Linked DNA regions of Daphnia pulex. The protein of the gene in region 1 purifies or fractionates together with the protein of each later gene. This does not show direct contact. Links are inferred from orthologs where the notes say so. Each region holds a gene or a part of one and is shown in the gene's direction. Other genes may lie near its edges.

What was found.
Region 2: the proteins of uncharacterized protein KIAA0930-like (region 1) and 14-3-3 protein epsilon purify together in Homo sapiens (affinity purification with mass spectrometry; 4 studies listed by BioGRID and IntAct, counting the BioPlex papers as one, with this or other methods). This does not show direct contact. The link is inferred for Daphnia pulex from reciprocal best matches to the Homo sapiens genes KIAA0930 and YWHAE.

Annotation. Positions count from the first base shown.
Region 1 is NC_060026.1:1,163,524-1,167,853, reverse strand, and holds the start of uncharacterized protein KIAA0930-like, read left to right. Parts: upstream 1-1,452; 5' UTR 1,453-1,857; coding exon 1,858-1,990; intron 1,991-2,055; coding exon 2,056-2,216; intron 2,217-2,283; coding exon 2,284-2,463; intron 2,464-2,527; coding exon 2,528-2,629; intron 2,630-2,685; coding exon 2,686-2,826; intron 2,827-2,898; coding exon 2,899-3,037; intron 3,038-3,102; coding exon 3,103-3,209; intron 3,210-3,270; coding exon 3,271-3,439; intron 3,440-3,679; coding exon 3,680-3,823; intron 3,824-3,962; coding exon 3,963-4,112; intron 4,113-4,188; coding exon 4,189-4,229; 3' UTR 4,230-4,330. Other genes in the region: tRNA (adenine(58)-N(1))-methyltransferase non-catalytic subunit TRM6-like, read right to left, coding at 33-315, 382-555, 613-1,050, 1,117-1,208.
Region 2 is NC_060024.1:10,588,576-10,592,936, forward strand, and holds the start of 14-3-3 protein epsilon, read left to right. Parts: upstream 1-1,437; 5' UTR 1,438-1,604; coding exon 1,605-1,668; intron 1,669-3,328; coding exon 3,329-3,528; intron 3,529-3,589; coding exon 3,590-3,696; intron 3,697-4,022; coding exon 4,023-4,160; intron 4,161-4,214; coding exon 4,215-4,361. Other genes in the region: piwi-like protein Siwi, read left to right, coding at 1-183, 250-366. UniProt on the Homo sapiens protein: Adapter protein implicated in the regulation of a large spectrum of both general and specialized signaling pathways. Binds to a large number of partners, usually by recognition of a phosphoserine or phosphothreonine motif.

The DNA of each region.
Region 1 (4,330 bases):
CATTATTTTAAATCTCAAAAGTTTTGTCTTACCTCGGAGTATGGACTGAAAATCACAAAATTGCCAGATGGGGCCAAAAGTTTCACCAGTTCCTTGGCGATGGTGGTCGGTCGACGACAGACAATTACCATCCCGTCGAGTGACCCGAATTCCAATGGTGGCGCAGCATCTTCGTCTAATTTTATCATTTTGGCCGGCACCTCGTCTCCATCCGCATTCTCTTCTTTCGCAAGCGTTTCTTTCAGTTTGTAGAGACTGCAGTTCTTCAGGGGCTTCAACTGCTCCGGAGTAAAGTTCATCGCTTGGATCACTCGCCTATTTACAACATAGTTGATTACTCGGCTGAAATATTTAGAAAATTCAAAAAGATTTGCAGTTTACTTTTGCGGTGTTCCTTTTAGGAACAGGTTCCAGACAGTGCCGTGCCCTTGAATTCTATCCAGAATAGCAGCTGTGACTAATCCTTGACACCCTCCATCAAAAACACCAAACTTGCCGTTGCTCTTGATGTTGGCTAAGGACATAATCATCGCAAGGGTGTCGGGACGTAAATTCCTAAAAATTATTAAATAAAATTATTATCCAATTCTTCACTGGAAAGGAAAGGCTTACAATATTTGCATGGGGTCTTGGGAATGGAAGTGTTTAGCCAAGTGTCTGATATTGGGTTTCAGAATGTCAACCCATTCAGAATATTTTTCCTCTTTTTTGTTTAGATACTTTTCCTGTGAGAATTCAGTCTTGATTTGGAAAGTTTTGCTGTTTTCAACTAGTTGTGTGACTATTTCACTTCCAGTCAACCCTTGACCTCTTAATTCTTCAATATCTTCTTTCTTCAGTTGTTGAGATGTGCCATCATCCCAAATTTCTTTATTGTTCTCTCCAGAGTTGAGGTCTTTCATTTTATCTTTCATCTCCACAACCTCATCTGATGGTTCAAGTGTAAACACACTGTTTTTGCCATCTTTTTCACGTACAAGCTTGAAAGTCCCATGAGGTTTTCCCACCACAGATGAGATATCGACTTTATCTCTCCCAATCTTAACAGTCCTTTATCGAGAAAAATATTGTTCATTAGGTTAAGCTTGTTACAAATGTAATTTAAAGGTGACGTACCATTTTTTGCCCTGTTTCTTTGGCAGCTGGTGTAGACTCACTTGGCTTTTTCTTTGAACTATAACAAATTCATCATTTTGGACTAATTCCATTATTCAAAAGTTCAGCAACGTTTTCAGATGTAAAGACAGTTGACAGTTTCGTCACAATACCACTCAATGAGAACAGAAGTCAACTATTGATTGAACAGAGATGTTGAGGTAGTGAACACGGTTTAGATGTAGCTTTTTATCAGATTTTAATCAAACTCGAAAGAAAACGACTAAATCAGTAGTTACAAAACGCATGTGCGATCGGCGCCATGTGATTTTTTTATTTTATTTGGAATGAGCAGACGACACATTTTTGACATCACAGCGGTGTCAATTGTATTTTTGAATCAAAAATACAATTTTTTAATTAAAAGTTTTCAAACATAATAAAGCGAAAATCAATTAAAAGTGAATAAAATATTCGTTTCATTTTCAGCTATGTATGTGTTATTAGAAACTTTCCTGAAAAATAAATAGTTCGACGTTGCCTTCAAATGTCAACTGTGTCAAAATAGACAGAAAATATTGAACCTGTTTGTTTTCTCAAATGTCACAATCTCATTTTGTCTCTTAGATTATTACTAAGCTCTTCAGTAATGCATGTTCTCTTTTGGGTGTCCATCAAATCAATTTGAAAGCATTTCAAACAATTATCAATGCTCCAATTATAGATCTTCAGTAAATCTGACATTCTTTGCAATCAGTCATTATGGCTGTTAGTTGGGATAAATTGAGTTCCATGGTAGACTCTGTTAATACTCGGTCTCCTAATGCTTTGGAGCAGCTATTGGAAGAAGTCAATTTTCAAAGGAGAAAGGAACGGAGAAAATATGTTAGAGAAGGTAAATGCATATATTTATTTTCCGTTGAAAAATTTAAAAGTTAAAACTAATTTTCTATTATTTAGACTCAGACTTTGTGCTCCTTCATGGAACACCATACTGGACTGATTTGTTTGTTCGGCACTTCCTGTTTGAATCAGATCAAAGTATTGATGCTGATGATCTCTTATTCTTTGTAAGAAAAAAGCTAATCAAAGGATCAACACGATTTCTAATGAAATTTGAGGTCAGATCACTTATTAATTCCACATTTAAAGTAATCATCTGTTTAATAAAGTGTTCATCAATTTTAGACTGAAGTTGAAGTTTTCCGTCGCGATAGTAAAAAGCTACCCATTGGAGATCCCGACGTGGCGTGGGAGGAGACTTTATATTTGAACTTGATCATTCATCAATTTGATTACATGTTAACCTTGGCAGTTTGCACAAGAACAAGCCCTAAAGATCTTCAGGTTTTGAAGCGTCATTGTCAAGTATGACCCAGATAATTTGCATTTAATAAAAATGTATGATAACACTATTGATTATTTTTCACAGAGGGTGTATGCCTCACCTAGTCGTAGAAGAATGGACGTTAAAGGTGATTTAGAAGAAATTACATATCCCAACATTTGTTTTATGGTGGACAATTTTGACGAGGTACTTTTTAAGGTGCAACAAAGTTCATTCAGTTTATTAATCCACTTTAAATTAAGGTTTATGAAGATATGCTCGTAAGAGATGGCGAGATGGTTTGCGTCGAACTTGTTGCCACCAACAGACGTGGAGTCCCTCAGGGAGTCCTTTTCTTGGGCTCTATTCGTTACGAAGCCTTAAAGAAAGTCTATGATTCTAGAGTGAGTAAAAATTTAGTTTTAATTTTGCGGTATACTATTTTATTTACAAAAATTTTTCTGTTGAAATTAAAGGCTAGTTTAGGTACAAGAGTCGCCCAAAAGTTTTCGATGGGTTTATGGAATGGAGCAAGTACACATCGCATGGAGTTTGTTCGCATGAAAGGTCCCCAAGGAAAAGGCCACTCAGAAATGGCCGTAACAAAGCCTAAAAGTTTGTTTCAGATGATCACACAGCATATTATTTTTATATCTTATTAATCTCTTGCTGGTTCGCAGGTTCTGGGTTAGACACCCCATGCTCAGAACCAGGCTTTAGCGCCACAGAGCTTTGGGACGCGGAGTGGGATTCTGAGCCGGAAGACTTGTGCTCCAACACCCGACAGGTTGATAGAAACCTTTTCTATAGCCATCGATCAAAATCTCAATAATTGCTTGTTTCTTTAGAGACGTTTGAGCGAGCCAAGTGGAGGTATGCCAATCAGCAACCGTTGTCAACGACCCAACACTAGTCATCAAATGAACGGGACTACTAACATGTCCCGCTCAGAGAATGAAGGTCTTGATAAGTGCAACAATACTTGGAATGAGATCGAGGCCGGTGATGTTCGAGACGGTAAGTGCATCTACACTTGAATCACGATTCTACACTTAAATCACTGTTCAGTTTTCTTTTTACTCGGTATACTTTGATGTTGTTTTTTTTTTTAACCCTGCGTATGTATTAACTAAATTTAACAAACATTTCTGTTAGGTTGTATTTTTGCTCGTTAAATATTTTATGTCGCATGCCAGTCGCTTTCTTTTTTGTGTTGATTGTTATTGGCATCGTTTTTGGCTGTATTATATCTACTAGGCATGCTGGCTGAGGAGCCGGAGTCAACGGACGTGCCCGGCCGCAAGACGGGTGCGACGTTCAAGCAGCTGGTGGACGGAAACCGAGTTCACTTTCGTGACGGTCAGTCGGCTCGGTCCAGTGAACCTGCTGGCCCTCGCACCGGTGTGCCATTATTATTTTTCATAAGCTTATTTTGTCTTGCTTTCCCTTTGATGGTTTCATATACTATTACTGTTTCAGCGTTTTTGTGAAGAGAGTTCTTGTGTTTAATTTTTCTTTTATTCCAATGATTTCTTTTTAGAATTGGACGATGGAGTGTGTAATCCACTTTGGACTATGAAAGGATTCACCCAAACCTTCCATTACTTGAAAGAGTCACGACGTGCTCAGTCGGTGCCTCTTAACGCGCTTCTTACTTACGTCACTGTCCCTTGGTATTCGATTATTGCCGGTAAGGGAGTAATTAATTAATAATGTCTTCAAATAGAATTATTTTTCTATCATTTATACTCATTTTGTTTCAATAGATATTTTGGACCATCACGACGCGCCTACCCTTACTTTCTAGCATACTCAACCACTTTCTTTCGGCATTTTTGCTATTGTCAAGGATCTCTTCTATTTTCTAGTTATTTCTAAGTCATTACTGTTTGTTTGTTTTGATATCAA
Region 2 (4,361 bases), on another chromosome or scaffold:
ACGGTTGTCGACAATAAAGTGACGCTCAATGAGAGATTCGACTTCTTCCTGGTGTCTCAAAAAGTTACGCAAGGTACCGTTTCTCCCACCAGCTACAATGTTATTGAAGATGACACTGGAATCGCCCCTGATATTCACCAGCGACTGGCTTATGCTCTTACCCATCTTTACTACAATTGGCCTGTAAGTTTTTTTATTTTTATTGTCTATTTTATTCAGAATTGAATTTAACCAATTTGTTCATTTAAGGGTACCCTGCGTATTCCAGCGCCCATCCAGTATGCGCACAAGTTGGCGTACCTTGTTGGTGAATCAATGATGACGCAACCGCATGAAGGACTGAATCGACTTCCTTATTACCTTTGAATTACCTTTCATTTATTTTCTCCCTAAGTTTTGTCATTTTTAACGTATTAATTTGTTCACTCATAAGAAAAAAACTAAAAGACGACGAGACATGCCTCACTCGCACGATTTTCGAATGACGCCAAAAATATTTTTCTTGAGTTTGTTTGCAATGGCGGATATCGACAATGGAAGTGTTTTTCATGCAATTTTTTTTTCTGTTTCACCTTCATGGGCCATGTCAGAAGTGTGATAATGAACGCCCCTTTGTGCCATGTTGTATGTAATCAAGGAATGAGTAATAAACCTTTGTTTTTAAATGAAGTAGATTTATTGACTTTCGTGTGGTGAGTTTTTATATGATGAAATAAACATGAGTTGCAATGGAATTCGCGTTGAGATGGCATTGACGGAAAAGCTCTACGTGTGCAATGCACATAGCACATTAGGTGTTTCGAAAGCACTGAGGAAAACAAAAGAATGTGGCATCGCTGCTTGGCAGGCGTGGTCAAGCTGACAGCTGTATCGAGAAGAATGCAGGCCTGCAAGGCCAACAAGGGTACGTCTGGGCAGGATCGTCTGGGCTTCCTCGATAGTCAACTTTCAGGTCCGCAAAAGCCAAAAGAACTCGCAAGTCATTGAATTGCTAATTGTCCACTAGAGACACCATGCGGCTGTCTCTTTTGTAACCAAGGGATCTCAATCGTCCCACAGCGAACTAAATCGTTTATAAAAATTATTTCAATACTATAAAATGACTTGATTTCATAACTTGAAGCTTTTTAAAAACACGATAAAATAATATTTACGTAACAAAATAGATGGTTGCTAGACATCCAATAATGAATTCACAAAAAGTATGCATAGAATCAAATGATTAGAATGAACATGTCATTACTCGGATAATAGAAAATTTGAATAAAAGTTTTATTTCATAAGAATTAATTAAATACCTAAAAGATTAGACAGCCCCCAAAGGTGTTTGGCCTTGTATAGATGTCAGCACTGTACGCTGCTAGATGCATAGGTAATAAGAAACGAGATCTGGCAATCTGGCCTCTTCCCATCCCATCGACTCTCGCTGGCATTTTCCGCTTTAGCTACAGGGCAAAGCATTCTAGCAAGCGTACGGTGGAGTCTCAGTTGCTAGCTACACTCTTTGGTCTTAGTCGAGACAATTCGAGGCAGGTTCCGATTCCAACGGTCTCGCTTTTGTTTCTTTATCCAGTGACATCTGCTTATAGTTTATTCCAGCAGCCATGGCAGACAGAGAGGATAACGTTTACAAGGCAAAACTCGCCGAACAAGCCGAAAGATACGATGGTACGTAAATGTCATTTAAATGTAAAATCGAAAAAAAGAATGAAGTTTCATTTCCTCTGTGTCTCTATGACTGTGCATCTCTGTGGGTAAAACCGAACGAGACGGTAGGCGGCTTTGAAAAAAGGCTTGGGCGTTTGACAGACTTATGACGTTTTGACTTTTTGTCTTTTTTCTTGTACATTCGGTTGTGTAATGGGGAAATTCAGCGGCGTCCCCCCTCTTAGTGTTGGCTTGAATACTTTCGATCAATATGACACTCGTACTTGAGGTTCATTTTTCCTGACAATTCCATTTTATCAAGTATAGTATAATCTCAGCCATGTTTTCTAGAATCTCTTTTGAGGGTTTTTGTCGCAGTACGAAATAAAAAAAAAGTAATTCTGGGTGTGTGTCCGGTGTGTGTGTGTATCTCTGGGTGGTTTTCCTCGAAACCTACCGCTACGTAACGAGATGACTTGGATCAATGAGTCATGAGAGAGAGAGAGAGAGAGCAGAGACTTTGGACTGTCTCTTTGTATACTTGCTTTCCAATAACTTTTTTATTCTCTTTTTCGTGAAAAATACGTAGTCGTTTCTATTCAACTTGGGCCTCTCACCATTGCGCATCACCAAGGCGACGGATCTCTTCAAAACGACGCTCGGTAGAGTACCCCACCCTTATGTGCGTGATGCGTTGGGGGTCCTGGCTACGTTGATGAAAACGTGCCGTCTAAAAAAGCTTCTCTCTCTCTCTCTCTCTCGAGGACATCAAAAAGGAAACCGTTCACACAACAATGGCCGCCTGTGATGGTTAATTTTCTCTTCTATATTTTTCTCTCGACTCTTCTGTCTGCGGCTTACAAAAACCAAGAATCGGTCAAGCTCTGACAGTGGGCGGAGAAACCCGATGGAAAATTAGCCACCATTTTTATTTTTCGTCTTTTTCCTTTAGGAAAATATTCCAACTGGTATGAATGGGGCGTTTTTCTATTTCCACATATTTTCGAAAAAATAGTTGTCGCACGTGACGCGTCTCGTGCCTTTTGTCGTTGTAGAAAAAAAAAATTAGTTTTTATATTTTTAACTTTATTCCCCCCCCCCCCCTTCACGTTTCAATGATGGAGGGAAGTTGGAAAGAAGAGAAAATGCGGTGTGGGTGTGTCGCCCTAGAACCTGTCATTACGCCACTGCGATGTGAATCCAAGTGGAGAGCCTGTCCGTGCATACAACTCGATCGTCTGGTTATTATTATTTCCCTGAATTCAAACATGTACGCCCAGCTGGAGAAACTTTTATTTTTCAATTCCTCCCTTAGAAAAAAAGAGGACACACATAGTTTTGTGTGTGTGTGCGTAACGTCAACTCGGTTTGCCCCTGTACTTTTCCTTCCTTCCGCCGTGGGGATGCTGATGTTGGGGGTTATATGACGACTGCGACGTGCTGGATGTGTGGAGAGCGGGCGGAACTAGGCGGTAGCGTGTTTCCTCCCGTGGCCGTTATTGATCCGCTACTTGAAAAGTCGCTCGAGTGTGGGGGGTGGGGTAGACAGGGAGATGGGGGGGAAAGAAGGCAAAGCCTTTATGTCTGAAAGTGTATCTATCTTTTTCTGTCCAAAAGAGAAAGGGATCCTCTGACAAGTTTCTTTGGCTAAGACTATATGATAATCTGTTTGTTGATGCAGAAATGGTCGAGTCCATGAAAAAGGTGGCGTCGATGGACGTCGAGTTGACTGTCGAGGAGCGGAATCTGCTGAGCGTGGCTTACAAAAATGTGATCGGCGCTCGTCGTGCATCTTGGCGCATCATCTCGTCCATTGAACAGAAAGAGGAGAACAAGGGAGCCGAAGATAAACTTGAACTCATCCGCAATTACCGCAATCAGGTATGGATAATGTATTCAAATTTTATTCATTGATTTGTGCCTTTATCTGTTTTGTCTATAGGTCGAGAAAGAGCTGAAGGACATTTGCTCTGATATTTTGAGCGTCCTCGAGAAGCATCTCATCCCATCAGCCACCACTGGAGAATCTAAAGTCTTTTACTACAAAATGTAAATCGATTTTTGCTTGGCCTTTTTTTTTTCAATCTTGCGAGTAGTAGTTGGACATTCCTATTAAATGCACCGGTGGATTTCTCTCAAAGTCCTTGAGACTCGAGCGTCTGTGATTTCGAATTCTACTCGTGTTTCGCTTTGAGAGAAAAGAAAAAGTGTCGTTACTATCTCTACCAAACGTGTACACAATTTTATCGTACGTAAACGTTGCGCCAAGCGCAACTTTGTGTGCGCGCAGACATGTTGTGGATGGATGGCCTGGTATTGATTATTGACGATTTTACACAACTCCCTTCCTCTGCTTTTGTCGTTGTGTTATACAGGAAGGGTGATTACCATCGGTATTTGGCCGAATTTGCGACAGGAAATGACCGAAAGGAAGCTGCAGAGAACTCGTTGATGGCTTACAAAGCCGCCTCCGACATTGCCATGACGGAATTACCCCCCACCCATCCCATCAGGTAACTTAACTAACAATTTGTTGCCGATCCTCAACTTAACTTTATCATTTGTAGATTGGGATTGGCCTTGAACTTTTCCGTCTTTTATTACGAAATCCTCAACTCTCCGGACCGAGCGTGCCGGTTAGCCAAGGCAGCTTTCGATGACGCCATCGCTGAGCTCGACACCCTTTCGGAGGAGTCGTACAAGGACTCGACGCT